Mytilus edulis: one gene and its partner. The protein of the gene in region 2 interacts with the protein of the main gene of each other region in a pairwise test. Links are inferred from orthologs where the notes say so. Each region holds a gene or a part of one and is shown on either strand. Other genes may lie near its edges.

Evidence for each region.
Region 1: the proteins of peroxisomal bifunctional enzyme-like (region 2) and catalase-like interact in a two-hybrid assay, tested with the Homo sapiens proteins (2 studies listed by BioGRID, with this or other methods). The link is inferred for Mytilus edulis from reciprocal best matches to the Homo sapiens genes EHHADH and CAT.

The regions. Positions count from the first base shown.
Region 1 is NC_092353.1:84,437,278-84,454,245, forward strand, and holds the start of catalase-like, read right to left. Parts: upstream 9,743-16,968; 5' UTR 9,641-9,742; coding exon 9,584-9,640; exon of another isoform or gene 9,525-9,583; intron 8,288-9,524; exon of another isoform or gene 8,196-8,287; coding exon 8,024-8,195; intron 7,070-8,023; coding exon 6,959-7,069; intron 4,082-6,958; coding exon 3,951-4,081; intron 3,403-3,950; coding exon 3,352-3,402; intron 1-3,351. Other genes in the region: glutamine-dependent NAD(+) synthetase-like, read left to right, coding at 10,020-10,104, 16,433-16,493, 16,810-16,926. UniProt on the Homo sapiens protein: Catalyzes the degradation of hydrogen peroxide (H(2)O(2)) generated by peroxisomal oxidases to water and oxygen, thereby protecting cells from the toxic effects of hydrogen peroxide.
Region 2 is NC_092345.1:89,861,844-89,878,811, forward strand, and holds the start of peroxisomal bifunctional enzyme-like, read right to left. Parts: upstream 7,128-16,968; 5' UTR 7,034-7,127; exon of another isoform or gene 6,887-7,033; intron 1-6,886. Other genes in the region: F-box/LRR-repeat protein 4-like, read left to right, coding at 7,358-7,573, 10,154-10,244, 14,655-14,784, 15,578-15,670, 15,951-16,314. UniProt on the Homo sapiens protein: Peroxisomal trifunctional enzyme possessing 2-enoyl-CoA hydratase, 3-hydroxyacyl-CoA dehydrogenase, and delta 3, delta 2-enoyl-CoA isomerase activities. Catalyzes two of the four reactions of the long chain fatty acids peroxisomal beta-oxidation pathway.

The DNA of each region.
Region 1 (16,968 bases), on a different chromosome or scaffold from region 2:
AGATGTTCAAACAGGTAAATCAGAGATGATTTACATTCTAGTTTTGTTCTTCGTAATAATTAAGTTAGAAAATGACGTTATCTTTATGCGTTACATTTCAAACGAAACAGAAGTCCAGTTATATCATTTTTTTTATTAAAATTGTTTTTGTCGTTAAGTTCTAATCATTTCCGGTCATAAGTGAAACATGTGACTAACATGTGATCACGCCCTTACGGCCAGATGTATGAAATACTAGGTCTAAACATTGTTTTTGTTTCCAACGGGATGTTAGCAAACATAATCTGTAGACTTGTTTCGTCTTGTTTAAAAAAGGAAAATACAATTTTCAAAGAGATTGCGACGGGGGTCTATTATTTTTCCTATGTGCATAATGTTACATACGATCTTGTGTGAAAATAAATGCCAAATGACTTGACAAAATCGATTTCAGATTTGACCGACGTTATAACACACTTCGTTTCCTGATAACGATGTAAAGGGTTCTTGGAAAATTCAATAGACATTACGTCTCTTATCATTGTGCCGATGATCGTTAGATTGATTTTGCTTCAGCAGTAAATATTACTGGATATTTTAGGTGAATAAAGATAATTTAATAAAAAATACATGTTAATATACCGTTACACTTGGAATGTACAAAGTTGGTATCTTTGTCACAATTTTTAATTATTTTTTTTTATTCATGTTCTGCAAACACTTTTCAGAAACGCAATAAACTTGTCAAAGGAGAAGTAAACTTTTACCATGCATGACTTGAAAGGAAGTACTTTATTGATTTTAGCCCACTAAAGTAGGTTAAAATGTGGAAACCATGTAGATGGTGTACAGGTCACAAATATCACATGGTGCCTATTTTAAAGATTTTAATTCCAAGTTAAAAGTTTTTTTCTTTACTGGATTTAAAGAATTTTACATTGCCAATGATTTGGAATAAATTGTATATAACTGGAATTTCAAAACCAAATATAAATACATTTTTTTGGCTAAAACATCAAGATACAACGATTATGGTATCCTGTATCAATGAAGAAAATATGGAAATTTCTAAATAAATTGTACTAATTGTTTTCAAAACAAGCACATATTTAGGAGTTGTATAATACTGTTACATTTAAGATGGATTTTAAGAAAAAGTATACTGTTCAGATTATTTTAAGCAGATTTTGCAATAAAATAAAACTAAAAAAATGCTTTCGGTTTCTTATGGTTTCCTGTCGCGTTTTAAAAAAAAACTTTAATTTAACATTGAAAATAGATTTTAAATATTAACATGAAGCAAGTAACACTAGTAATGGTGTTCATTTATGTCTTTTGAAATATATTGTGCAAAATAAAGAAAATAAAGATTGGTTTCCTGTCACGTAAACGGTGAATCAAAATGTATTATTTTTTTCTTGAAAAACTCAATTGTTCCATTAATACTATTCTAACACCAACACAACCCACAGAATAAAAGTTAAAGTTTTAGAACTTATAACCAGGTGCTCCGCAGGGCGCAGCTTTATACGACCGCAGAGGTCGAACCCTGAACAGTTGGGGCAAGTATGGACAAAACATTCAAGCGTGATACAGCTCTGAATTTGGATTGTGATCAAATTTTTGACATTACATGTTTTTTTTACACAAAACAAATGTCAAGATTTTACAAATCAATTAAAGATTTCTTCTTCAAACTTTTTAAATCTAAAATTGAATAGTTGACACAGCATAGGTTTCTGACACAGAATGAATGTGGTCTAATGAACTTGAAATATTTTTTTTGCCTTTGAGCAATTCACTATGCTGTTGAATATTAATCCTCTCAAAAAAATGTTTGAAGAAATTTTCTTTTTATTTATGAAATCTGAAATGAGAAAAATTTAAACCCCCCCCCCCCCCCCCCCCCCCCCCCCTTTTTTTTCACATCCCCGTTTCCCTTTTTCCAAAACTGATATCAATTCAAATTTCTAATGGAGTTTGCAACAATAACTACTCTTTTAAATACATCATAAAATATTAAAATGTAAAATAAAGTGCTTGTTATCACTGAATGGTAAAGATTGGTTGGTGGTAAAAGTGAATATACATTGTTTATTGTATAAAACAATAAAAAAAAACTTCATCAGCAACATTTTATATTGGCAAATTTCCAATGAAGTTATTTACATAAAGTTATTGGCAAATAAAAATAGAAAATGACATCATAGTCCATGTCTGGCAAATGTCCAACATACATTATCTAAAAACATTTTAGATAAGATAAGGAAAAAAAGCTTCATCAGCAACATTTTATATTGGCAAATTTCCAATGAAGTTATTTACATAAAGTTATTGGCAAATAAAAATAGAAAATGACATCATAGTCATGTCTGGCAAACATATATTATCAACTTCTATTCTATACAAAGAAAGATAACTCCAATTGAAAATTAATTGCTATTGCACAATATTGTGCAATTATTTATTTCTTGCTATTGTGCAATACTGTGCAATTGAAAATTTCTTGCTATTGCACAATACTTGATATGGAATCCTAATTTGGACCAACTTGAAAACTGGGCCCATAATCAAAAATCAAAGTACATATTTAGATAAAGCATATCAAATAAGCCCAAGAATTTAATTTTTGTTAAAATCAAACTTAGTTTAATTTTGGACCCTTTGGACCTTAATGTAGACCATTTGAAAACTGGACCAAAAATTAAGAATCTACATACACAGTAAGATTTGCATATCAAAGAACCCATTTATTAAATTTTTGATGAACAAAGTTTAATTTTGGACCCCCATTTGGACCAACTTGAAAACTAGGCCAATAATTAAAAATCTAAGTACATTTCTAAATTCAGCATATCAAACAACCCCCAGGATTCAATTTTTGTTAAAATCAAACTAAGTTTAATTTTGGACCCTTTGGACCTTAATGTAGACCAATTTGAAAACGGGACCAAAAATTAAGAATCTGCATACACAGTTAGATTTGGCATACCAAAGAACCCCAATTATTCAATTTTTGATGAAATCAAACAAAGTTTAATTTGGACCCTTAGGGCCCTTTATTCCTAAACTGTTGGGACCAAAACTCCCAAAATCAATACCAACCTTCCTTTTATGGTCATAAACCTTGTGTTTAAATTTCATAGATTTCTATTTACTTAAACTAAAGTTATTGTGCGAAAATCAAGAATAATGCTTATTTGGGCCCTTTTTTTGCCCCTAATTCCTAAAAAGTATTCGGACGACGACGACGACGCCAACGTGATAGCAATATACGACGAAAATTTTTTCAAATTTTGCGGTCGTATAAAAAAGGATACAAAAAGAAACCAAAGGCCGAATACCAAATTATGGTCCATATATGTCTTTTACCTTCAGGTGAGTTTCTGGGTTTCTCTTCTGTGTATGAATGAAGCTTGGAAACTGAAATTTTAAATAATATAATGTAGGCAATAACTCAACAAGCTTGTCAATATAGAAAAGGGCAAAGATTGGTTTAGAAAGAAACTGAAATTGTCAGAAATTCTGACTGATTTTACATCACATGTATCATAAGAAACAATATAATTTTTTGACAAAATCACTATTTCCTTTTAAATTCCATAATATAAATTGCCATAATTGTACTACTAGAACACTGTAGAATATTTTCAAATTAATTTATCACAATAAATTTGTAACTCAATTTACTAAATTGTAATAACAATTTCTCGGTATCCATTATATTCATTCCAATTGTTGGTTCTCTTCTATATATATATATTTAAAGCATGGAAGGTCGCTCTCATACACTGACCAGTAGTTATTTATATTCCAAGTCTTTGTTCTTCCAAAGCCTCACATCACCTTATTTTATAAGTAAAGGAATTTGCTGTATTATTACATAAGTTATACTTTTAACATATTATAAAATTCTTAGACCTATTGCCCATGAATCATGGATTAGTTTAACTGATATGACTATTGTATACCAGCATAGGATCTCTAATGAAGAAGATTGGTGTATTGTTCCCCACTAGATCCCAGTTACCATCTTCTGTATACATCTTTACAGCAAATCCTCTGGGATCTCTGGCAGAATCAGCAGAACCACTTTCTCCTCCTAAAAATAAAACAGTGTGTAATGGGAGATAACTCTAGTTCTAAATTTTTCATTTTTACTGGATTTAAAATAATCTGAAATTGATTTTATTTCAAATAAATCAGAAAATATCACTTCAAATGTAAAATTGTCTCTCAGTTCTTAAAAAATAATTTAAAATAAAAATCAGTAAGACAAAAAAAAACATGATAAATAAAAATAAAGTCAAATCCTAACTGAATATGGGAGCTAACTCGGTATAAAATCATGTAGCAATGTATCATTCAATAGTTACATGTAAAAAAGTAACTTATTCTTTTTTTTTTAAATATTTACAGCTTCTTTTGCTTGGCAACCAGAGCCATGTTGGAACATGTAACGCACATGACTCCCAATAAAATTTCAATGTCAGTTACATTTCAAACAAGCCAGGGAATCAAAATGGACAAAAGTGTATGTGTTGCTAGTTAATGAAATAAAATCCTTCTAAAAGTAAGATTACATGTTTATTTTTATATTGTGAAATGGTTGTTTCAAGATCTAGATCTCTGTAAGTCTTTGGCCACGTCTACTTGTATTTTTGTCCATCTAATGAGTTAAGCCTTTTTCAACTGATTTTTATAGTTCGTTCTTATGTTGTACTGTTATAACCACTGTCCCAGGTTAGGGGGAGGGTTGGGATCCCGCTAACATGTTTAAACCCGCCACATTATTTATGTATGTGCCTGTCCCAAGTCAGGAGCCTGTAATTCAGTGGTTGTCGTTTGTTTATGTGTTACATATTTGTTTTTCGTTCATTTTTTTACATAAATAAGGCCGTTAGTTTGAATTGTTTTACATTGTCTTAGCAGGGCCTATTATAGCTGACTATGCGGTATGGGCTTTGCTCATTGTTGAAGGCCGTACAGTGACCTATAGTTGTTAATGTCTGTGTCATTTTGGTCTTTTGTGGATAGTTGTCTCATTGGCAATCATACCACATCTTCTTTTTTATATTTTAAATGGTTGCCTTTCAAAAATGTCTTGAAGATCCTAAATGTTCCTATTAGATTTTAAATAATTCTATCACACCACAGTGTTCCAGCTAGGCCGTTTTCAGAGGGCGCGGCGCCCGCCCTTTTCCGAGTGGCACCCTGTGCCCTTTTTACAGTTTCCAGGGCGCCCTGCCTTTTTTGAAGATCGATTGCATATTAATTTGCGTATTGATATGATACGCTAATTACTAAATTTTACCTGGGGAAAAGATTATGACTTTGTTTACCACCCCAAGCTAATCAATGGTTACAACTGGTGTCATAATCTGTTGTTATAGGTAATCCGTTGATCGGATGGGTCATTATGATCATCAACATTAATTCGTTCAAATAGAATCGGTCAGTCGGCAATTATCTTTGAAGAAATGTGCATACAACAACTTGGGCACAATTTGCGATGTTTACCGTAGTTTCATGGAAGAAACGTAATGACAGAAAGTTGGAAAACCATTATAAACTCGTTGAAGACATTGTTTTACTTGTTTTCTGTAAAATAAACAGAAAATTCAGACGTATTTGTCATTGACTGCCTTCATTTTTGATACGAAAATAACAAAATCATCCGCCATATTGTGATCATATTTACATCATATTTACGTACTGTTTATAATCCTCCAAAGAAGGAGCACACCCGAATAAAGAAAGATAACTCAATCTGATTTTTTTTCCTAGCATTAAGTAACCCATTTACATATTCTAAAATGTGTCTCCATACTTCTTGCTTAAGAATATATATGTTTAGGTATTTATTTTGAGTTATGGGAAAAGTTAAAGAGGGTCTTAGTAGCAGTGTTGGTAGGGTGCCTTGGTCATCTTTTTCTGTAGTCTTTATTTTTGATACTATTTTTCACTGTTGCTTTATATCCTAAAATTGTGAATTTACTGAGCACAGCTGTTTTGTGCTGTATTGCCATCAAGCACAGCAGGGGTAGAAAGGTGAAACTGGTAAAATGTGGTAGACCATAGAAACAGTATGAAACAGATCTCCTTTCAAAACATACTGCATATAAAGTTCAACTGTGCCAAGCAATGATAAAAAAACTTGTGTGACAAGCTGCTTGACAAGTTTTTCAGCCTTAAAAGTAGAAAGATAGAGTTCTATATGGGCTAAAGATGTTGTTCTTGTATAACCTGTGATTCAACGAATAAACACAAATGTTTGATTAACATCTTTTATTAAAATATGCCCTTTTCATATTATCATATCGCGCGTTAAATGCCCTTTTTCAGGATTGGCACCCTGCCCTTTTGAAAACCTAGCTGGAACACTGACACCATGCTCTATGCTCATTTCTAAATGAGAAAAAAAAATACTGTTAGAAGATAAAGCAAAACACTTTATTTTTCTTCATGAATTGTGTTCACTATGTGAACTAACTAATAAAAAAAAATAATCATAAAATTGAGGAACATGTGGTGCAATACATATAGATTCTACCACTGCATAGAGTGTGATACGATATTTATTCACTCAAACAGTTAAATTTTCAAATTTCAAACGCGAGGCTTGCTGAGCGTTTTAAATATTCAAAATTTAACTGTCAAGAGTGGATAAATATCGTATAACACGAGATTTGGTGGTGGAATCTGTTTTTCTAATGATTTTCAAACAATACACAGGCTAACTTATTGCTTCTTTGCGACTGATCTGCAAAAAGATGTGTTCTTTCTATGTAACGTCATCAGGCATGGTCGCCTTTTTTCATGCCGTCACAATAGGAAATTAAGAGGAAAAGAAGAGTATTCAACGTCATAATCAGATTTTAACCAATGAAGAACTGAGATCAAACGAACCACGCGTTCATTATTTTTTTTATATTATGCGTGCAGAAAGGGATTAGAGAAATGTAAAAATGCCACTTACCAACTGTAGAGAATCTCACTCCCAGAGGTGTCTTTTTACCAACAAATTCAAATGGCTTTGCCTTGCAGTACTTAGAAATATCATGTGTGCACTCAAAGTATCCAAATGCTCCTGTAAAATAAGTCATAATATGTTATAACTAAGGATCTCACTAACACTTATTAATGACATTCCTGTAAAATTATTCATCAGTGAAGTTCAAATCAAAAAAAGTCTAAAGACTAAATAAAATATAAAGTTGAAGAGCACTGAGGACATTTTGGAACATGTGGTCATAATTCTGGTTACTGTTTACAGTTAAATTGTAGATCTTTATGCTTCATGTCTCGAGCTCATTGGGTCAATTCTTAAGATGAGAGAAAAAGATTTTTTTTATTGTGAATCTATTTATTTTTAATGGGTATCAATTTTCATGGATTGAGAAAAAATTGTATTTTCATGGATGTTTGATTTTTCTGGCTTTTGAATGAATCCACAGTATCCAATCTAGAAGCCATGTAAATATATGTATAACTTAATCATATGTGCATGTTAATTACACTTAGAAAAATGAAAATGACATGAGCTGTAGTGTAAATAAAAATTCATGTTCTGATCAAAAATGATATACAACATACATGGAAATGCTAATACATTTTTTTGTACAATATTTTTTTTCTCAATAAGACATATATGAATGGGAGTTTTAACAATAGTCATGTTTAACAAGTTAAATTACTTTTTTAAGCAATTATTTAATTGTAATAAATTGTGTAATATGCTATGTAGATGCAGGTATGATTAATCATGTTAATATATTTACTTTAAAACTATTAACATGGCAGCATGTGCAAATGTAATCTACATCATGTACATTGTAATATTTCAAGATTGGTTACAAATTTAAACCTTCTACACATATGAACATGAATGGTTATGTGATGATTATGTCAAAGCACTAACTGCTTAAATTTTAGTAATTGCAGAATATAAGTTTGAAAGATAAACATGTAGCATTAATAATGTTTATTGTGTTTGAGTATAGCATTGAATCATAGATTCCTATTAATACTATAATATATGTACCAGCTCCTTTAGCATGTACTACTCTTTCTGGTATTCTTTCTCGGTTGAAATGGGCCATTTCATCTGTGAAGACAAAGTCTTGTAACAGGACTGGACCTCTTGGTCCAACTGTCATTGTGGCTGTTTTGGTGCCAACAGGGGCACCTGTTCCAGTTGTCAAGACATCAGGTTTCTGAAAGGAAAAAAGAACATTAAAATTTTAGTCATTTGTTACTCTTGTCTGTCAGTTTTGCCTTATCTCTTTACAAACATGATTTGAATGTACTGAATTTTAGAACAATTTTACAAATCATAGATTGCTTATTCTTAATTAACATGATTAAGGCACAGTAGTTATTAATACAAAATTCTGAACAAAAACAATGCTGAATGATGTGGAAGGCTAAATTAAAACATAACACCGTGCTTGAGACATTTTAATCATGATAATTGTGTCTTTTTTAACTCTTGCTGTGGAAACAATATTCTATTATCACAGAGCCGTAAGCATGCTACAATTAGACCACTCAAGTGGTTCCATCACATTTGATGACATGGATCAAACGGAACATTTGAAAATATGGCTGAAACAAAATTGCATATACCAAACTCTAGTTGTTGTTTTTTTTATGAAAGAGTTCCATTTGATGACCTTCATGTCAATCGTTGTATAAGACATAGACAAATAAACCTGCATACAATTGTATCATATGTACATGTTGTATTACAACAACATCATGAACATATTTAAAAACTAATTCTAATGCAAAATTGTTTCTAACATTCATTTTGATTGGATATCTAATAACTGAATAACATCACAAATTTTCATAACATTAATTCACAAATTGATGATATGAAAAAGCACCCACAAACGCAGACAAATTTCAAATGTATATTTGACATGGTTTTGTCAGTTTCATTAGAATGGAGATAATAATATTGTATTTTCAGCTATGACAGCATCAATTAGAGATTTGATGGTTGCAAATACCTGTTTACCATGTTTACTGGCTCAGCTAACGCTTCACTACAAAACGTATTTTAGGGCCCATTAAATCACCTATTAATGCCGTCAGAGATTAATTTACGATACCACAAATACAGTTATCTCCTAAGAGGGGGTAGAACCTTTATCAGGACTCTGGAATCGGGTGTTTTTAAGCTCTGGATTTCGGCAGGATCCGGGTATTCATTTTTAGAATTTCGGGATTTAAATTTCTTTAAAATTGGGACCTCAGGATTCCATGTTTATAAGCCTAATTTGGGATCAGGACCCCTCCTACCACCACCTACCCCCCCCCCCCCCCCTTTCTGAATACTGGTGAGTTCTACACCTAATATCTTGAATATAGAACATATAATTCTAATCATTGTGCACATATAAAACCTACCCATTAATACATTGTGACATAGGAAATGCATAGTGAATGAATTTTAAAGTTGTGGGTTTTTTTTATGTAATGTAAAACTAAAAGTGCAGCGTAAATGTCCTGAAAACAGGGTTGCCACTGCTAACAACAGTTCCAAAGCAGACCCTATATCATCACAGTACATTACTTGTAAATATAAAGAGCATACCGTCTGTGATTCTTTAAAATTGAGAAGTTGGTTTGTTGCTTTGTCTCTGTTTGCCATTTTGTTAACCTGTCAAGTTCCAGTTTTACACACTGCACGAAGTCCAAACAGTACTTGTGTAATTTCTAGGTCACTTTAGGTCAAGGTCAAAAGATAAATTTTGTCGCGTTCGATTTGCCATTTTTTATTTTAATCATGTAAATAATGCCATTCTTTTCTAGCATTAAGAATATACTTAATCTTATTTCTTTCGTTTATCAATTTACTGATAAATTTTGGTTATTTTGAAAAGAACTATAAACAAACAAAAAATTTACAGTTTCAACAGTAACACGTGGACTAATCAAACATTCTATAGACAACTTCCGGTGTCCGAAAAAGAAAGTTGATAATCAATAATTTTTGAGTCGGTTTTGACGATTAACAGAGGGTCTCCAAAATGGGGAGAACGGCGACACTCGCCACTTGCACATTGAATCAATGGGCAATGGACTTTGAAGGGAATTTGTCAAGAATAATAGAAAGTATGGAAGATTTAAAAAAGAGCTGATTATAAAACTAAAGTTGTGAACATTTCTTCTTCAAAACATATCATCATATGCACGTTTTCACACTCTTGTTAGTCTTGAAAACAGAATGCTTAAGTCTATCTTTTTAAATAGCCTTTACAGGTACAAATTAAACCCATATTTAGAACATAGTTGTATGCCAAATGATATGAGTATTACACTTGTTGATAATATTGAATTACTTTACAAGAAAATACATGAATATTAACTGAAACTGGGTAACACGAATGACCGAATAACACTGTTATTTTCCGAACAACACTTGTAATGACCGAATAACACTGTTATTTTCCGAACAACACTTGTAATGACCGAATAACACTGAAATTTTAATATTATAGGGTTATTGCATGAATATTGTCCCGAGTAGAATTTTATATTGCACGAGCTTGCGAGTGCAATATATATTCTACGAGGGACAATATTCATGCAATAACCCTTTTATTGTATAGCAATATAATATTTGAAAGTAAAAATTGGTTTAAACTAAGATTTTGTCGTTGATGACGTCATAATTTTTACGATTTATTGCACTAGTGCAATATTAGAATTTATTGCACGCTAACTTTTGGTTACTTTCTGTGGGAAATATTATATTGCTATACAATAATATCACATATTGGTGACTTTTTAACATTGATAATTTTAAAAATAATAATGTATTATCGATGTATTTTTTAACTTAAAAATGATTTACAAAAAGCAGATAAGTTCATAAAGATACTTTTGAATTTAGTGTGTACATCGAACATGGCAGGCATTGTAATTTCTGTGGTCGCCATATTGATGTACACACTAAATTTTAAAAGTTTTTTATGAACTTATCTGCCTTCTGTAAATCATTTATAAGTTATAAAATACATCGATAATATACTATTAATTAATAATCAATGTTTAAAAGTCATCAATATGTGCTAAATATGAAATTCCAAGTGTTATTCGGTCATTATAAGTGTTATTCGGATATTAACAGTGTTATTCGGTCATTCGAGGTACCGACTGAAACTTGGTAATTTGAAGAAATTTCATATCATAATTTTTAATTTGTTTCATATTTTACGTAAAATTAATACATCTTGTTCACATACAGAATCAAAAGATGCAGTTGCATTGTCTATTGCTATAAAATTTTAAGTCAATACTGTCATTAGGCCACTTTTTTTTATTAGTTGGAAGGGTAGGATGTCGAAAAAAAATTAAAAATAAAAATAATGAAAAAATATAGGGTAGGAGGTCGTAAAAAAATTAAAAAATAAAAATTTGAATTAATACTGGTTTTTTTTACCAAAAATGGAGAGAAACAAACAATGACGTTACTCTATATAATAGTATTATACTAATTATGTATGCAGATTGTTTCATAATTTGGTATTAATTCTTGCTGTTTTAATATAAATTAAATGTGTTACAAGGAGTCCAATGTCAATGTAGATTGATGAAAGCAGATATATATATATATATATATATATATATATACATGTACATGTTCCTGATGAAAGGGAAGTGTCTTTTCCAATTGCATTTCTCTTTGTTCTGTGTATTTATTTATCAAATTTAGATCAGGGAGGGAAAAAATTCCTCATAACACAATACATTCTTATTGAGGAAATACCATATATGTGCTCTGCATGTCATATGCCTTCATATGTGGTACATGAAAACATGTCCTTTTTAGGCTTTTTATGCTATTTTACACTGCTAAGTATTAGCTTATATCATGTATATCTCGAAGTGTCCTGTGATTGTCCCTTTTTAGCTCACCTGGCCTAAAAGGCCATGTGAGCTTTTCTCATCACTTGGCGTCCGTCGTCGTCGTCGTCGTCGTCGTCTGTCGTCGTTAACAATTTTTCAAACATCTTCTCCTCTGAAACTACTGAATGGATTTGAATGAAACTTAACATGATTGTTCCTTAGTATATCCTGCACAAAATGTGCGCTTCGATTTTTGATCCGTCAAAAAACATGGCCACCGTTACTTAAAATAGAACATAGGGGTCAAATGCAGTTTTTGGCTTATATCTCAAAAACGAAAGCATTTAGAGCAAATCTGACATGGAGTAAAAATGTTCATTAGGTCAAGATCTATCAGCCCTGAAATTTTCAGATGAATCAAACAAACCATTGTTGGGTTGCTGCCATTTAATTGGTAATTTTAAGGAAATTTTGCAGTTTTTGGTCATTATCTTGAATATTATTATAGATAAAGATAAACTGTAAACAGCAAAAAAGATCAGCAAAGTAAGATCTACAAATAAGTTAATATGACCAAAATTGTCAATTGACCCCTTAAGGGGTTATTGTCCTTTAATGACAATTTTTCACAATTTGTTCATCATATTTGCTAACTTTAAAAAATCTTCTCCTCTGAAACTACTGAATGGATTTGGTTAAAACTTAGCATGATTGTTCCTTAGATTATCCTGCACAAAGTGTGTGCTTTGATTTTTGATCCGTCAAAAAACATGGCCGCCGTTACTTAAAATAGAACATAGGGGTCAAATGCAGTTTTTGGCTTATATCTCAAAAACGAAAGCATTTAGAGCAAATCTGACATGGAGTAAAAATGTTCATTAGGTCAAGATCTATCAGCCCTGAAATTTTCAGATGAATCAAACAAACCATTGTTGGGTTGCTGCCACTTAATTGGTAATTTTAAGGAAATTTTGCAGTTTTTAGTCATTATCTTGAATATTATTATAGATAAAGATAAACTGTAAACAGCAAAAGAGATCAGCAAAGTAAGATCTACAAATAAGTTAATTTGACCAAAATTGTCAATTGACCCCTTAAGGGGTTATTGTCCTTTAATGACAATTTTTCACAATTTGTTCATCATATTTGCTAACTTTAAAAAATCTTCTCCTCTGAAACTACTGAATGGATTTGGTTAAAACTTAGCATGGTTGTTCCTTAGATTATCCTGCACAAAGTGTGTGCTTTGATTTTTGATCCGTCAAAAAACATGGCCGCCGTTACTTAAAATAGAACATAGGGGTCAAATGCAGTTTTTTGGCTTATATCTCAAAAACGAAAGCATTAAGAGCAAATCTGACATGGAGTAAAAATGTTCATTAGGTCAATATCTATCAGCCCTGAAATTTTCAGATGAATCAAACATCCAATTGTTGGGTTGCTGCCACTTAATTGGTAATTTTAAGGAAATTTTGCAGTTTTTGGTCATTATCTTGAATATTATTATAGATAAAGATAAACTGTAAACAGCAAATATGATCAGCAAAGTAAGATCTACAAATAAGTCAATTTGACCAAAATTGTCAATTTGACCAAAATTGTCAATTGACCTCTTTAGGAGTTATTGCCCTTTAAAGACTTTTTTCACAATTTGTTCACCATGTTGACTTACTTTAAAAAATCTTCTCTTATGAAACTGCTGTATCAATTTCAGCCAAACTTAGGCTAAATGAGTTTCAGAGTTTCAGAGTATCTAGTATAAATTTTATATTTCATTTCCTTGTATGTCAAGAAACATAGCTCCTATGGCTAAAATAGAACATAGGAGAAAATGATTTTTTTTTGCTTTTGAAGAAAATAGGACGATTCAAAGAACATTTAAATAAATTGAAAAGCCAAAATAATCATTGATGAGAGATTAAACCAAAAAAATTCAGGTGAGCGATTCAGGCTCTTGAGAGCCTCTTGTTATAAATGTCGAAGTGATTTTAATTGTCAGGCATTCTATGACAGTAATACATGTTCTGATTTTGTGTTGGGATCTTGTTCACCATATCCCATCTTTGTTCCATTAAATCTTAATGGGTACCGTGGGATGGTATTTAGGTATTTATATAACAAGGCCAATTAATCAGACACCCATCCCTGGCAGCAAGTTAAAAGATCCTTCCCTTTTAATAGTGACGTCTGGCAAGGCTATTTAAAAACAAATCTGGGATGCCAGGAAGCCTTGCCAGATGTCATAATTATTTGGACTAGTACCTCATATGTGTAATGGAACTAAAACAGCCCCTTTCGACGGGTTTCAGACTTTCTGATCGACACTGGAAGTTTGGAACCAAAGTTGACCCGCCATCAACCTCACTGACTGTCTGAAACAGGGGTTCAAATTAGCTGTGGTCCGACAGGGATCTCCATGGCCTGTTTAACGATGGCGCCCCTCCATCGTTCAAATGTCTTGCGCCATCGTCAAATGACTCGCGCCATCGTTAAATTGTCTTGCGCCATCCTTAATTGTCTTCCGCCATCGTTCAAAACTTCATCGTTTTGTGTAGCCCAACGCCATTTTTTATCAATTATAATCAAATGCATGTAATTGCATAACCCTTAGGCTTTTTATGTTATAATCCAATACAGTTCTAACGCCTTAGGGATATCCGGATTAAGATCGCTAATCACTTGTACCTGAGCTTGTACAGGTAGATCAACAAACCAGACAGGAGAATACTATCTGAGGATAGACGATCCATTTGTCGAATTAATCAACATAGTTTCAGCAAATGATTATGATAATTTAGATTAAATAAATTAATTAATAATCCAGTTACAAATAAACAGTTTAACAAGTCGAACACAACTTTATTTTGACTTACGCAATCAGCATCACCTTTTTTTAAGAAGTACAAAATAAGACGCAAAACAGTAAATATTATTTCATCGCAAATAACTCAAGAACTGCTGTAACGATGAGTTAGAATTACTTTAAAAGTTTAAGGGTAAAAACTTAAATATTTCCTGTAAAGAAATATCGTATCGTAATTCCGAATTCATTTCGTATATTACAATCAAATTGATACATTGGCGTTTCCGGTTTCTATTCAGACTCGAATGATGCATGTTGCACAGCTTCAATTTGCCAGATAAAGTCATTAAAAACCTTTTCATTTGTCAACGTTTGCTTTAAAAATCTCTTTAACCTTTTACATAACCCGTACGAATCGTTTTGTAATTGCTGCAAATCAGCCATACCGGTAATGGGTTCTGAATTTGACAGTGTTCATGAAAAATAAGCTCCACATCATATGATTTTTAATTTTAACCCCCATAACAATTACCAAAAATAATTGAAATCTACATGGGGACCTTCATGACAGCTTTTGGTTATTCTACACTAAGGGGGGGGGACCATGAAGAATTGGCATTTGAATGGTTAAAAACGGCAATAAATGAAAATATTGATACTTCTAATTCTACAATGAAAATTCAAATAAATATAATTTAAATAAGCAATGAATTAGCATGTTCACCATTCCTTGTATGGAGGGATAAAATACTTCCGATCGCGCTACACTGTACAGCGTAGACACGGTTTGTAATGGTGAAAGTTCCTCCATCGTTCAATTTTCATCCATGGAGATCCCTGGTCCGACCTTTTAAACCAAAATTCCCAAACGATCTCAAAAATAATTTTCATTTTTATTATTCATGACTGCGATGTTCAATTTGTTCAACCGCTAGATTTACACCGAAAATCTCAAACAATTAATGTGTAAATCTAAGTAAATATTGTAAAATCGTATTTGGTCCTCCATTTTCAACTGGTTCCTTTTCACCGCATTAGATCATGATGAAACGTTGACTGAACAGGGAACCGCCTTTCAACAGGTTCCTTTTCACAACATTAGATCATGATGAAACGTTGACTGAACAGGGAACCGCACGGGATTTTCGAATCCACTCTGAGGGTATTCCGACTGGAAGAAGAAAGACCGATCTTTTTATATCATTCATGTTTTTATTTTTATTTGTACTTCTTCAAACAGAAAAGGGTCGGCGGAATTAAAAAAAATCTTCAAAATCGTTTTTATTTTTATTTTAAAATCGTGAAAAACAGGGTCGGCGGATCCGTAAACCATCAAATAAAAAAAAAGTGGCCTTAAAATCATTTCAAATCATTTCATTGTAAATGTTTGCCCTCCAAATCTTTATTCAATTATTAAAAAAAACTGTTACTAAAATACTTGTTGTTGATCAAGTTGATGAGCACTTCAAGTCTTCGATCCTTGACTGTTTGTGACTTCTGAATTTGACAGTGAGAAAAAAAATATTTTGTTGTTATTCCTAAACTACATGAACTATAACAAATGACAATTAACAAAACTATTGGTTACATTTCCCTGAAAATAGGCAGTTCACATGAGATAAGTTATGTATATTATTTTATTTACAGCTATTAAGGACTTCCATTTTATATCACATTTTTAGAAAACAGAAATGGCTAAGATGAATCAGATTTGGAGCTAATTCAGTAGCTTTGAACTCACAATTGTTTTCCCTTAAAAGTCTTAATTTTAGATGTTTATATTTTCAGGTATTCAAAAGGCTAAAGAGCTTGGTGCAACTTACAGATTAGGCCCTGAGCTGGAGATAACGTTAGTATAATATGACGCAGAACAATTTCAATTTGTTTTTACAAAATATGTACATGTATGACCATTAATAAGAAGTTTTCTACCAGGTAATTGATTTTTTACTTTTACCATTTATGCTGCCTTCAGGAGCAATGCTGCATATACATGTAATATTTAGTGTATAAGAAAAGGTGTAAGCATGGTAAGTGTCCAGTACTTGAAAATCTAAGATATTGACAGTTTTTCTTACATACTTTTTAACAAGAATTTTTTTTGAAAATATTCTTTCGAACATGTTGAAATTAAAAAATGATAATAGCATCAATTGTTTTTGTAGAGGATATGGATGTGCAGACCATTTTCTGGAGAGTGATACATTCTTACACTCATGGCAGAGTTTGGGACAGATTCTCACTAATCCAGTTACCCAGGATATTCTTTGTGATGTTGGAATGTAAGTTTGTATACGACCGCAATGATTTTTATACGACCGCAA
Region 2 (16,968 bases):
ATCCCTTTGAAAGAAGCATGCATTTTTGTTAAGGTACTTATTTTCTGTTGAACTAATAGGAGAAAAAAAGGTAACATCCAAATAAAAAGAGAACTAAATTACAGAAATTGCTTAAAATTTTACAATAGTTTAGTTTAAGAACAGGTTATTAACAAAAAAAAATAATAAAAAATATAGGTCACCGATGATTTAAAAAAGATATTTCAATTCAAATGCAACATGTGCAAAAAAAATGACAATTTTTCACCAAAGGGAGATTATTTGGAACTTTTTCAATGATATAAACATTTTAAAAGTCATCTGGGACAAAAACTAATTGATTTTTTGGTTGATTTTTGTACCATATCATAAAGTAACAACTAACAGTGTAAAAAATAAAATTTGTAATGAAAAAAAAAATGTTTGCTGAATTTTTTTAACCCTCGAGCCTCCTTAAAACCTTTTGTGGTAGTAACAAGTACAGGGTAATAGAATATATGTAATATACTTAAAAACCATCAAATTAAAGTAGTTAAATCTATTAATATCTTGCTTTTTGCATAGATCAGATAACCGTGGTGAATACAATTACATAATCATATTTTTGGAAAATCAAACAACCAAATAATATATTCTTGCACATACAATGACATAGGGGTAAAGCTAAATATTATTGTCTAAGTTTATAGGCTTTATAAACAACATCAGTGTAAACATTAGGAAGTGATATCTTGTTTTTTATAAGAACACTACAGGTAACAGCAAATTTTCGGGCGATATCTTTTTGCGCCAAAAAGTAACTCATTTGCGCCACAACTTAATTGCGCCAATACCTCTTTTGCGCCACCTAATTTTCAAAACTATAGGTATCATTTGCGCCAATAAAATAATCATCTAATTGCGCCAATTTTAATATTTTTATCTATATATAACAACGAAATGATTGACTAGGTACCAACAGCAAAAAATTCCTCTGACATTGTACACTGAAATTTCAAATTAGCCTCCGCATCCTAATAAAATTATACCGCTTTCTGGATCGTTACACAATACAAAGTCATCATCTTTGTTTGTAACAACACCAATATCATCCAATATTCTGTGAAATTCTGCTCGATTTTTATATTAAGCCGGACGCAGTTTTCTTCTCTCTATATATACATACTAGACTGACACACATATTTTAAATCTTTCTTTTCTAAATTTTCTTCTTCAATTTTGAAGATCTCTGAATTTATTATTTTTGAAGGTCGCTCTGACAACACATTGGTTGCTTTTCTTTTACACGCAGTTCTCAAAATATGACGTTCTAATTTCTGGACACTGATAACGAAAATATGATATTTTATACTGACAAAATCTGCTATGAAATTTTAATAAAGCCAAAATGTATTTTATACTCGTGATAGTTGACTTGTATTTGCATTATAATTTTAAGAAAAAATATATATTATAGTCTCTCAAAACTCTTTATAGAGTGGCTCTTGTTGTTAACTAGTGTTTTGAAAAGCTGTATATTTTATATGTTACAAGTGGCGAGACTTTAATAAAGTATTTGTCTTGTCTTGTCTTGATATAGGTAAAACATGTACAGGTATGATATAAGTAAAAAAATATTAACAGGTAAATGTGGCGCAATTTCATTTCATTTATTGGCGCAATTAATACCATCATAATAAAAAAGAGTGGCGCAATAAATACCTTTTCAAAACTGCAATTGGCGCAAATTGATTCTGCCCAAATTTTCTAACCAAATCTGTAATGCTAACAAAGAATTTGGTAAAGATTATAATTAATTTGTGGTTATGAAAACCAAGACTTAATAATTTATCAGTTATACATAAATAATGTTCATTTATATCTAAAACACGACTGCAGACACAGGCATAGTGAACAAGTTGTGAAATATACACAACATAAGAAAGTAACATCTTTGTCAAAAAATTTGTAAGGGTTCCACGAAACCCAGTGTCTTGCCTACTTTATGAATCTAATAAATGTTTTAAGAACTTTAACTACAGACTGTATGTAATGTTAACTGGAAGAAAAACTAAGTCCATATATAAGTAACATATGGAAAAACTGGAAATATATTTTAACAAAATTTCGTTCTAGATACTAGCTTTTGATTATAAACAAGCTTCTGTCCAAGTTTGGTAGAAATCCAGGATAGTTTATGAAAGTTTTTAAAATTTTAAAAAACTTTAACCACAGAGTGAATGTTATGTAAACTTGCAGAAAAACTAAGTCCATTTATAAGTAAAACTTGGATAAACAGGATTTTTTTCTACACAAAATTATATCTGGATACTATCTTATGATCAAAAACAAGATTCTGTCCATGTTTTGTAGGAATCAAGGATAGTTTAAGAAAGTTTTTAAAATTTTAAAAACTTTAACAACAGAGTGAATATTTGTGTACGACCTAGAAGACGATGCCGACAACGAAATGTAGGATCGCTTTGTCTCGCTTTTTCGACAAAAGTTGATTGGTAACAAAAAAGGAAAATTAACAATCAAGGAACCAACATACTTCTCAATTGTTTTGTTATATAGCATGTGTAGAGTTTCCTGTGTGAAATTGGATATCCTTTAAATAGTGCAACTATTGTTGGCTGTATTAGATTTAATCAAAATAAGTTTCTTTTGGTATATTTCAGCTGTAAAATGTAAAATGTAAGAATTCTAAGCAAAAATATCATCAATGTAACAGAAAACATTTTTAAATGTAGTGTTTTTAAAAGTTTCAATATAGTTTAGACAGATCTTTTACTGAATTTGGCCATCAACTGAGATTTATTACAACACAAGAACAAGTCTATTATTAAAGAGGCTCAAGTAGTTCCCATAGGAATACCTTAAACCTGTTGATTAACATTATTCCTAGAAAGTACATAAATGTTGTCATAATGAAAATTTACAGCTTTAATCATTTGATTACAGACATTTTAAAGTATCATTTATTAAATAAGAGAAATTCTGTTTAATAAGATTGTGTGGTAGAGTAGTATACATAGTTAAAAAATTATAACTGTCAACTGAATTGAATGGACCATCAAAAGCACATAATTTGTTTAAAACTTCCAAAGAGTTTTGACAAGTTCAAAAATAAATCAAAGCTTTCTCAAAATCAATAAAGAGCAGTAATCCAAAAATATTGTTCTCTTCTATATACTGTAAAATATCATGAATCAATCAAATGCTATCCCTTATATAATAATCCAATATCTATTTCATAAAGATCCAAAGACCAAAACTTAAGTAATTGTTCATAAACCAAGAAACCCTTGTTTTTCCCCCTTTTTTTGCCCCTAATTCCTAAACAGTTTGAGCCAATCCTATCCATCCCTTTGTGGTATGGAAACTTTTGGTACAATTTCAGAGAGATCCACACACTGTTTCACAAGTGTAACTTGAAAAACATATTAAAAGAAGGGAAATAACTCTAAGTTTATACAAAGTGTTTCAAATACACAGATAATAATGATTGTTTGCCTGAGTTAAAGGGTGTTAATCAATAGAATTCCTGACACCCTATGTCATGTATGTGTTAATTTTTAATAAAATATCTATATCATTTTCTAAATGGATGTTTATTATCTTATGGAAACCAAACTGAGAAAATAAAAACAAATAAGAAAGAATATCCAAATTGGGAGATCAATTTTTGTCATTGTTAAAACAATAAGTTTATAAAAAAGAAGATGTTTGAAATACAAAACAAAGTAATCAGATATTGATTAATTTTAACATTCAAGAAGAATATTAATTGCTTATTATTATTTCTTTGATGAACATAAGTTTTAATTATGCTTTAGTCAATATTTTCTGAAGATCAAGATCATGTAAAAATACAGCACCTAAGCTGAATTCAAGCAGATACAAACATACATTGGATAGTGTTGTATAATCATATATTTATGTTGTAACCTCTATGGAATAATTACTTTAAGGAGGCTCGAGGGTATAAAAATTTCAGAAAAAAATAAACATTTGTTTTTCACTACAAATTTTATTTATTACTTTTTGTAGTTGTTACTTTATCATATGGTACAAAAATCATTCAAAACAATCAATTCGTGTTGGCCCCAGATGACATTTAAAATGTGTACATCATTGAAAAAGTTCCAAATTATCTCCCTTTGGTGGAAAAATGCTTTTTTTTGGCTTTAAAATTGAAATATCTTTTTTAACTCATCGGTGACATATATTTTTTAATATAATTTCCATATAAGCTGTACTTAAACTAAATTATTGTAAAATTTGAGAGATTTCTGTAATAAATTTCTTTTTTTATTTCGATATTACCTATATTTCTCCTATTACTTCAACCACCTTTACAAAAATGTATGCTTCTTTCGAAGGCAGATTGTGAGCGCAAATGAACGGTGATCCCACTTTTTTATTTTAATTTTCTATTAACTATAAGATAAAGTTCATTTATAGAAAAATATAGAGAAATCCTATATAAATGATTTAGACCCGCGAACCCCCTTAAGTACATGAAGTATTGATCATATGTCTTTACAAGGACACATGATGGACAATACGTCCTATGGACAATGTGGTGGTATTGCAGACACCTATATATATGAATGTCATGGAAATGTGATTGGCCCGTCTTCAAAGCGCTATTGTTACATTCCTAATTAATTGGTTCCTAAACCAATCCAGCATTCTGGTTATAATACTGAGCGTCCAACAAAAATAATCTTTTTTTGTTATTATTACATTACTATATGCTGATGTATATGTACATATATAATCAAGCCAGTACTAGTCAGAAGTCGCAAGCAAGTAATCATACTAAACCTTAAATTATTTTTTTTCTATCACTGTTCCTTACATGTCTCTCTTACAGGGGGTGGGTAGTCCACAATATAGGAAAAAGTAAAATCACAAAATACTGAACTCTGAGGAAAAGTCAAAACGGCAAGTCGCTATAATCAAATGGCAAAATCAAATGATGAAACACATCAAACAATGGACAACAACTGTCATATTCCTGACTTGGTACAGGCATTTTCAAATGTAGAAAATGGTGGATTCACAGAAAGTCAATCAAAGAGCAGATTGATCTGAGGGATACGATTGCCATTGCTTTCATTGATACATGTATTAGTATTTAGTATTATTTTCAAAAATAATTCAACTGCACATGTAAAATGCTTGTAAAATGTAATTTACGTAAACTGAATAGTTATTCAACTTTAAAAATAGCCAATCCTTGATACAAGTTTATGAACAATGTAATTATTGTTATATTTTTGTACTATAAATTCCAAGTTTACTTTCCACAGCAGTCACTGAAAGTGAGAGAAGGTATTTCACTTTGTACCTTATCACCTATTTCATTTGTATTTTCCTACGTGAATTCTAGGTGGAACCCCATTCCTAACATTTTAAATATTTAATTTCCTTTGGGTCAGTGGGCATGAGTCCTTTCCATACACATTCCTCTGTTTAAATTGCGATCGGTTTTAATATAATACGTCTATCGACAGAACAACAAAAAATTGAAGTTTTGAACGACCTTGACCATTGTTGACTTGTTATACAGCCCTAGCTTGCACGATCGGTAACCGACAGAACGAGTTAACCCTCATTAGCAGACAGACATAGAAAGGATCTTGTGAGTTTCAAATTAATCAATGGAGTGGGGAATCTAGAGCAACCACTCAATCTGATACCCCTTCAAGTCAAGAAAACTATATGCATGCACATACCTAAACAAACCCTAGACTTGTGATTTGTAGCAAGGATGTATATTAAATGTTAATTAAACGACCTCCATTTCTTTATGGAAGTACAATATCAAATATCAGTTTCATAACGGTGACATATAAGAAAACTCCACTTCAGTTCTTATATGACAGAAATAGATTTTATCGATCGGAATTAAGAAAACTCTTGCATGTTATCAAAACTGGGGAATTCCCTCTGATGTGTTTCTAAATTTATAAAAACACTAAATATAAATACTGCTTAATTCTGATTTTCCGTGTTGTAAAAAACATGCATACAAGTCAAGGGAAATATCGAAACATGAAGATTATGAGAAGAACATTAGAGGACAGTTGTTTAAATTCAATCCTTTTGTTTTTTATACCATTTAAAGCATGACAATCTCAAGAATCTGAGATGTTCCTTGATGTTTAGAATAAAACGGTTGATGTGAGGGCATGACCCTGAGTCAATGGTATAAGTCTACAGATTGCTTAAAAGCAATCGTATCCCAAAAAAAGGTACTTCAATACCTCATAGTTATTTGGACTAGACACACATACACAAGGGCGCATATCATAGACCTATATATAAAAAAAGAAGATGTGGTATGATTGCCAATGAGACAACTCTCCACAAGAAACCAAACTAACGCAGGAATTAACAACTATAGGTCACTGTATGGCCTTCAACAATGAGCAATGCCCATACCACATAGTCTGTTATAAAAGGCCCTGAAATGACTGTAAACAAGAAAAACTAACGGTCTTATTTATGTTCAATAATTAAATGAAAAACAAATAAGTAACACATAACAAACCACAACCACTGAATTGCTGGCGGCCTGACTTTGGACAGGCACATACAAATAGATTGTGGCAGGGTTTAAATTAACATTTTAGCGTGTCACAGAATACAAGTTCCTTTATAATATAAGTTCCAAATGGAAACAATAGTCTGGAATTTTATTTCCACTGGAATAAATATTACAGTAAATGCTCCTAATGGAATAAATGGTATAGAATATTTGTTCCAAAAGGAACATATATATATACGTTGACAACCGGGATCATGTTTAGGGGTAAATATATGCCAACCTTTTTACATAATGTATAATGCCCACCAGTTGACGGGCATACAGTGATATATTTCTACCCTGAAAACATGTATGATAGGTACATACCCCTGTGGACAAGGGAGGGGTACATGTATCTCATTGCAAATATTGTACAATATAAAGTCCTTGATCATTGACTTCTCCTGTATATTCTATTTCATGACAAGATTAAATAAGCCAATAAAACTTGTGAAATTTGCATTGTAGACCTACAAAATAATAAAACTTGATATTTTGTTAGGCCCAAAAATACTCTCCAAAAATAACACTCTTTCCAGACAAATTTTCAGAAAAATTAGGTCTTTCATCCCGTATGCCAGTTTCAATTATAATAGTGTTTCTATCGGCCTTATCTTGGAAATTTCGTTTTTACGATGTTTTTCCTTTGATTAAAACGTTAATAATATTCATTATTATCTAAATTGAATAATTTAATATTGATGTATTATTGTATGATATAATATTACACATGATCGGACGACACTAATGAATTTAGCTATTCAGTTTCGCTTTCACTTTTCATTTCTAATTTTAGAAATGGCTGACAATGCACTTGCCAGAGATAAAATAACAGAAACACACAAGCCAGGCAGTACATCAAAGGCAGTTTTAATTTCAAGATTTTCAAAGGAAGTGACTGATTTCAGCAGTCAGTATGGTAGTGAAACAAGTATATCTTACACAGTCAGCAACCTAGCAGGAAGGAGTAACATATTTCCTGCTTATGGAGATTTTACACAGGCTGCTGTTTTCGTAAGATTTCCAGATATTAGTTGAACGTTTAATCATTTAAATTAGATTGAAATAATTTCATAAAATTCTTTTATGAAAATTTATAGGGTATGGAAACTTGGTGTTTTTATAGGACCTTCATATTGACAATTTTTGAGAGAAAACATTTTACAAATGTACATGATGCAATTTACAAAGTTTTTAGTGGAAGAAGACGTCAAGTCTTCTGAAGACTTAAGGGGCTGACCATTGGCATTGAGTCTCCGTATGCCGCATTCATTTCGTGTATTACAATTTCAAAACAACTTAGATTCCTGACACCGATTTTTACACATGATTAGGCATCTGAATCATTTAATTTGTAAATTATGATTGTAAAACAATCACTATCGTAAATATGACCCTTTTATTTATGTAAATTATTAGATTTCATCTCATCCACATGAACGTTATTTGTTTACTTGTAACAGGATGTTTTAACTGTAGATATTTGTATTACGCATGCGTGAATTTGGTATCGGGACAACTCGCCCTGTTTACAAGTTCGCCCTTGAAGTTACGAATTTGCAATCCTGCAGACAAGAAGATTTTGTTTTTATATAAATAAAAAGGATATATAAAGTGTTGTCTTTATTCATGGTTTTCCTTTGTCATGTGAATTAGATGCCCTTCGTAACATACATGTGAACCTCCCGTTTAGGAGAAAAAACTCCCGTGTATGAAATTTTTCAGACGCCATATTTGATCATTTCTTACTACTGTACGGGTGTAATTGACACCTGTGTTAAATTTTACCTGAACATCAAAGAAGATGTATAATTATAAGGCTTCACTTGACAGCTTGGGTGTCAAACATACTGGTAATCAACGATGTTTACCTCCGGCTAACTGCCGTTGTGTTATCAAAACGATGTGTATTGGGCATATTGAAATATTTTTTTGTTACTTCCCTTTGTTTTATCCTGTTTTCAGTTATTTTGCTTTTAAAAATGTAAATTGTAAAAAGACTATAAATGATTAAGATTTTAATCAAATAATCATAAACATGATAAAGGGATGTTGATTAAATGAATTTAAATGATTTTGGACAAATAAAAAAATTAAAATTTATAAATTATTTTAGCAATCTAGACCTCCTTTCAAGGATTAAATTGAAGTTTATATCATAATTTTGTTTACAACAGAATATTTTCTTAATTAATTTACGATGTTGCAAATATACATGTGGAGCTTATTTCTTTCTTATTTGTCTATACATTTACAAATGATAAGGAGATGAAGACATGAACAAAAATATATACAGATAAGATATATAAATATAATGATTCATTTGCTAGCAGTGAACAATCATTTGTCAAAAACAAAACAAAACAAGAAACAGATTCTTCTTATTATTTTATTTTATTCAAATAGAGAGGCAATAATGGAACTATAAACATTACAATTTGATGGAAATTTGAAGAAAAAACACAATTTCTACATCATTTGGTTACATTTATGACAAAATTTATGTCGATAAAAAAACATGATGTTTTGACCATTCAGTACTTAACCCTTTCCTCCATAATGACGCTTTTTGACGCCACCCCCTTTACTCCATAATGACGCCTTTTGACACCTGTGTAGTACCTCAGTTGAAACACTTTGACTACAAAGTGTCTGCAGTAGACTCAATAAAATTTGTATCCAATATGAAAAGGAATATCATAGGAATATTCTACTTAAATTTATTTAATGAAATATTTGTTTTTTGCAATGCATTTTAATACTTTAAAGCCTATTTTCAGCATTTATTGAAAAATTCTATTTTGTGTTCATTTTTTACAGTGGGTTGTGATGATCTTCCAGTTAGGTTACCCTCATTTGGAGTGTTGTTCCCAACCTGTTAAAGGTCCATCTTTGTGCATAATTCAAAATTGGAAATTTCAACAACATGAACAAGCATCTAATATTCTTAATCTGGAAAATAAACCCTGGTCTGCTAGCTTCATGTATATTTTTTCTACCGATTTAATATATAACTAGAATCATGCAAACAGACTTAAGGAAAAGGCATGTAAGTTCATCATACAAATATGACACTTTTTCTAGACAATCCAGATCTTGCAAAATACGTCGCTAAAAATTGTAACCTTTAAAATTGTTGTGCAGTAAAAACCCATATGGGAACTTTCAAAAGTTGGCAGGTATGTAACAAGTCTTACTATTTTTATGCTCCATTTATGGGCAATATGTGTTCTAGTCTGTCCGTCCGTCCTGCTTCTGGTTATAAAGTTTATGGTCGAGGTAGTTTTTGATGAAGTTGAAATCCAATCAACTTGAAACTTAGTACACATGTGTTCCTCTTGATATGATCTTCTTAATTACTGCCAAATTAAAGATTTTACCTAATTTTCATAGTCAACTGAACATAGAAAATGATTGTACGGATGGGAAATCCATGTACTTATGACCTTTTCTTGTTTGAAGAAAAAAAATACATTTTAACGATAATGGAACAAAGCAGCCTGGGTAAGTGGGGCTGCTTTTATGGTTATTCAAGTTACCTTTTATTCACCTTCTTCCACTTCAGAGCTATCAGCTCTTTGATTTCTTTTACAGAGAACATACGGACCATGGTGGAAGAATGTAACATCTTCACCTCGTAAATTCAAGAGAACACCACCTAACTTCATAAGTGATGATTATGTTGGTAAGATAACATTCAAAATAGTTTTAGAGTGGAGTCTATTTGACCAAGGATTTGTATAGTTAGATCTTACTATACAAATCCTTGATTTGACTACCAAAATCTATGGGAAAAACAAACCTTCTCATTTATTATTAAATTTAATGGACACATATGATAACAGAAAAATTTGGTCAGCATTTCTCAATTTTTGGGATACGATTGCTTTTAAGCAATCTGTAGACTTATGGCAGATTCCAAAAAGAAAAGAAAATTTCCGTCAAAAAGAACAAATTAAGAAAAATAATACTTACTGTTATTTGAATGATAATATGTGAATGTTTTATTGAATAGTAATGTTATATAAAGCAAGCAAACCAATTATTGGATATGATTGTTTCCATTAAAAGTAGAAATGATCACAACAAGTTGAAAAATGTGAAATGTTTGACGGAAATTACTTCCCATTTTTTGACACAAGGTTCATGTTTTACGAGGCTTTAAGTTGACACTGGTATAATGGTTTTTATTAGTGTAGTCTGATTATTCAAACATCTCTGTTTCCAAATCTTTTGCTTTTCTTTTGTTAAAAACATCTGTGATATGTATTTTTTCAATTTCTAATACCTTACTTAGGTAGCTACCATTTGATTTTTATGGGGGGGGGGGGGGGGGGGGGGAGGGGGGGGGGGGGGCTAGGATGAAAATTTTTGTACATTTGTACATTATACATACACATTTTGGATCTTTCAATTTACTTTATTTAATCAATAGTTTTATCAAATCTGTTGCTAACATAATTTCTGTCAAACTTGTCATTTTATGTTAGCAACGTTTGGATGTGCTACAAATTAGAGTTATCTGTCCTGGGTTAAAATCTTTTTAAATTTCAGGCATCGGTATTTTGCAGGAGTTCTTAATATGACTTTCAACTAGGATAAGAGCTCCAATGTTGGTTAAAAATCTCAAATATATATTGTCCGTCAAATTTATTTATGTTAGCACAATCTTATGTTAGCAACAAGTCCGTCAACATCTTATGTTAGCAACACTATTTAGTCCGTCAAATTTTATGTTAGCAACAATAATGTCTGTCAAATTTAATGTTAGCAACAAAAAAGTATGTCAAATATTATGTTAGCAACAAAAAAGTCTTTCAAATGTTATGTTAGCAACAAAAAAGTCCGTCAAATATTATGTTAGCAACAATAAAGTCCGTCAATTTTTATGTTAGCAACAACTTAATTTCTGTCAAATCTTATGTTAGCAGCATTGCATATGTCTGTCAAATTTTATGTTAGCAACTCCAAGATAATCCGTTTTAAAAGTTATTCCAATTCCTTTTTTATTGGTGCAGATGTTCAGAAATGTTTTATTCCAATTTGCCTTTCATGTTAAATCAAGATAAACATCTAAACCTTGAAAATACTGAAAATATCAAGATTTTTTGTGTTGCTAACATAAGAATTTTCCGTCAAAATGTCTGTCAATTTTGTTATGATAGCAACATTTTTTTAAGGTGGTCTTTATTTAAAAAATATAATGTGAATAGATCTATTTTTGGTCAAAAAGTGTTTACTTATATAAGTATAACATGTATTCCAAAACAGAACTTCATTGGTGTTGATATTGTTAAACATAATTTTGGGAACTTTTCAACTTTCTTATTTGGAATCTGCCTTATACCATTGACTCAGGGCCATGCCCTCACATCAACCGTTTTATTCTAAACATCAAGGAACATCTCAGATACTTGAGATTGTCTTGCTTTAAATGGTATAAAAAACAAAAGGATTGAATTTAAACAACTGTCCTATTATCAATGTTCTTCTCATAATCTTCATGTTTTGATATTTCCCTTGACTTGTATGGATGTCTTTTACAACACGGAAAATCAGAATTAAGCAGTATTTATATTTAGTGTTTTTATAAATTTAGAAACACCTAAGGGGTATCAGATTGAATGGTTGCTCTGGATTCCCCACTCCATTGATTAATTTGAAACTCACGAGATCCTTTCTATGTCTGTCTGCTATCAGCTGCTGCTATTGAGGGTTATTGTTGTTGCATAATTTTAAATCATGATGCATCATTTTAATTAAAATAAATGTAGTTCACAACGTAAAGGTGTAACTAGAACACCCCTTCAGCCAAAATGAGGTCTTCCATATTATCGCGTCGAGAAAAATTAACTCGTTCTGTCGATAGACATCGTATTATATTAAAACCGATCGCAATATAAACAAAGGAATCTAAACGGAAAGGAGTCCTGCCCACTGACCCAAAGGAAATTAAATATTTAAAGAGTTAGGAATGGAGTTCCACCTAGAATTCACGTAGGAAAATACAAATGAAATAGGTGATAAGGTACGAAGTAAAATACTTTCTCTCACTCTCAGTGACTGCTGTGGAAAGTTAACTTGGAATTGATAGTACAAAACTAAAACACAATAATTATAAGTACATTGTTCATACACTTGTATCGAGGATTGGCTATTTATAAAGTTGAATAACTATTCAGATTACGTAAATTACATTTTACGAGAATTTTACACGTGCAGCTGAATTATTTTTGAAAATAATACTAATACATGTATCAATGAAAGCAATGGCAATCGTATCCCTCAGAGCAATCTGCTCTTTGATTAATGTTTAGACCTCAAACTTGCATTATATCATGTTTATAAAACATAAGTAACAAATTATCAGAGATTGTTTTCATGTAGTCCATTATTTCAAACTGCTTGATAATTTTTATCAAAATCTTGTTTATAGCTGTCAAGATTAGCTTAAGGTAACACGATACCGAATGGCATATCTCCCGATTTCCAAATTTTTTGGCATACGTGTACTTTGAATCGAGTTACATCGGAATATGTAATAAAAAATGGGGGTCACCATTTTTGTTTTTTTGTAATTTTCATAGGAAAACATCAATTTTGGCGACAAATTTACTTAGGTATATAGGGGAAATGCCTTTTTTTCGGCTTACCTTTTTAGATTTTCGAATGGATGGCTATTTTCTTATATACGGAGAAAAACGAAAAACTAACATAATATCCAGGATTGCATAGTGAATCCAGACACGTATAGAAACTCATATGTCACCATGCTTGTTTTTGAAATAAATGGCTTCAAAGTTGATCGATAGGCCTAGAATTTGACCAAAAACGTGTGACGTTATGGTGTACGGAATATAACGTTATTTCTTCTCAGAGAATGGAGAAAAACATATGTGTCGGGATCTGAATGAGTATATTTTATTTTCATTTCCCCTGTCGACTGTCGTAAAGTTCCTAGTAATGCAATATAAAATTCTACTGAATCAGATATAATTTTATTTCGTCCTTCACATGGAATTTCACTTATATGAATTAATATCAATATCGTCCGATTTTCACATCAAACGAGCATATACTTGAAACTTGCGTGAACAGGTTCCATGTGAATCTTATGATAATAGTTCATGCATAAATCACCGGAATTTTGTACACGTTAAATTCACGTAAATATTTCAAATAAAATTATTTAAATAATATCTTTGTTCTAAAATTTGATTAAAACCATAAAAAATACCTTCAGATTTTTGTTAAGTTTACGTGAAAATTAAATGAAACATTTCACGTGAGATTTATCCGAATTACTGATTTTAAACTCCATCATATTAGACAATGGTAGTATCATCACTGCATCCCATGATGCAGAAATATGGTATTTAAAAAAATTTGATTCATTTAACAGTTTTTTAATTACTCGGTGTGATGGTTGTTTAACGTTCAGTGGCAAATAGTTCATGCATGTTCGGGACGATACACTACAATTTTGAAAACAGTTGTTTATAAAAGACACATTTGATGCACCAGTCAAAAAAGATTAAACATTCTGTTATTTGTGAAAATAATGATCATGATAAAATACACATTCCAAAAAATAAAACAACAAAACTCCAAGAAAAAATCAAAACGAAAAAATCCCTTATCAAATGACGAAATTAAAAGCTGAAAAACATCAAAAGAATGATAAACAGCTGTCATATTCTTGACTTGGTACATACAATACATGTAGTATACTGTACTCTGCGTGGTGTAAATGTATCAAAGTAATACTTTTTAAAGATTAACAATGAACAGAATGATGGCTGGAAAACGACAAAACAATCTATGTCAAATAACCGCTACGTATTGCATCAAAACTCTCGGCACTCTGCACATAGGGAAAGTTACCGTTAAAAATGCCACACAAAACCCGCTGCATTGGCTTATATGTGTGAACGTTATTCGATAACGTCAGGAACGATAACTCATGGCGTAACGTCATTCGGTATCGTGTTACCTTAAGTGGTTGTCTCAATGCTATAGTAATTGTCAGTGGGTTTTTTTGTGCTCATTAATACAGTTATCAGTTAACATGGTTTATATCTTTTCTGTTTTTCAGAATTGAGTTTTGATTTAGATGTTTATCCATGTAAGATTGAAGTTTGGGAAACTTATAATCCTGGATCAGTAGTGAGAATCTTAGCTTGTGATACAGCTTCAGGGACTGATGTAGATGATGGCAGAGTTAGGTAACATACTATTGGAATTATATAGTGTACATGGTCCAATCAGGGACTTTCTATAGAATTAACTATCCCTGTACCAATACATTTCTCATAAACCTTCAATACACTCTAAATGAACCTGCAATGATTTTTTTCTAGAATTAAATGATTGCTATTATAAAAGTAACATATAAGATGGTCTTGATTCATTGGATTTTCAGAATAATCATGATAATGGGTAAAAAGATAAACAGCTGTAAAAAAGAGCAAAAAAAGAAAATAATAGAAAATAATGAACTGCTATTTTGTTCTGTATTGAAATAAAAAAAAATATTTCTAACAAAAATTGCACCATTTGAATGCTTGGTTATACTTCTTTATGTTGCTCTTACTTGACCAAGTTCCAGGATTTCAGACCAAAGAGTAGGTTACAAGTCCTAAAACGTAAATTCTTGAGTCAAACGTCAGTAATATGAAAAAAGTCTGTAGTCTGCCAGAATGGACAGGAAACTGGTTTATTTTGACAGGGTCCAGTTTTCTTTTAATTGGCTGTTATTTTAAATGTATAAATTCAAATTATAAGCCAATTTTGGATGTTGACTCCAATTTCACAGTTAACAAGACCAAATGACACAGAAATTAACAACTATAGCATACAAAAATGCCTTCAAAGATGAGAAAAGACCCAGAAGGATCAAATGTAAAACAATTTAAACAAGAAAACTAATAACCTAATGTATGTACAAAATAATGAATGGGAAAAAAATATGTAGCACAGCAACAAATGACAACCACTGAATTACAGTTTTTGTTTTAGATGGCAAGTGTTGTGGGAAGGCCAACCAGAGAAATGTCCTGATAAATCCAGAATATTTTCTCCAACATTGAGAGAACCATTGTTTAAAACAAGGTGAGTTTATAGATCATATGTGTCCTATAAATTACTTGTACTTTCTACGAGTCTCAAGTTGATATACTTTTTTTTTAGACAGACTGTATTTATACTGAATGTCAGTAGAAACCTACATGTATTTTCATTCAATGAAAATTCTAATTTATAGATCTTTGAAAGTTCATTAATAAAGAATCAATGCTTTGTTATTGTACCCATTAGCAGTTACCTCATAGAAATAAGTTTAGGTGTATATGACCTTGATAACGTCCTTTATTATATATATTTTATATTTCAGCTTGATAAGGTTAGAATTGTGTTCTACACTGTGTCATTACTACACAGAATTAGATTGTGTCTGTATGTATGGTACATTAAATCCATGTTCTGACATGCAGGCCATTCTTAAACAAGCTCCATCATTTGAGGTGAAAGATTGTAGTGATGCTGATGAAATTGTATCACAGACACTGAAGTATATCAATACACTATCTGTGTCATCTCATCAGGAAAGTCTGGATGAAAACAAGGATCCTGGACATTTGCCAAGAGAGACTACTGATGTAAAACAAGAGCAAGTTACTCCAACAGAAGTTACAAACGATGAGACTTTTTTTGAAGAAGATCCTGAAATGGGAAATGGATACTTTGATGATTTACCAGTGAGTTAAATGGGTTAACATTTTGGGTGTTTACTAATTTTAGTTTAAAATCATTTAACATATATTGCACATAAACTTAAATTTGAAGAACTTTTCAATACTCCAAGCAATACAAATTACAGTCAAATTTGTTATAAACTACTACTTACCGGTAATCATAAAAATCTTACAGTTACATTTGCATATCAACATTTGATCTTTTGTTATTTTGATATTTTTAGAATTGAAACTGGAAAACTATTTTCTTTATATAGATATAGGAAGATGTGGTGTGAGTGCCAATGAGACAACTCTCCATCGAAATAACAATTAATAAAAGTAAACATTAAAGTTCAATGTACGGCCTTCAACACGGAGCCTTGGCTCACACCATAGAACAAGCTATAAAGGGCCCCAAAATTACTTATGTAAAACCATTCAAACGGGAAAACCAACGGTCTAATCTATATAAAAAAAAGACCTGAGGTTGTAACATTAAATGAGGATCACAGTTACGGAATAGGGAATAATAGGGAATGCAGTAAAGAACTCTTACAAAAACTATTATGAAAGGCCCGACGTAAAGACTTAAATATAACAAAACTGACATATTTAACAAACACAGGGCAAAAACCGAGGTCCATTTGTGAATGATTTTATTCAAAGAGACATCGG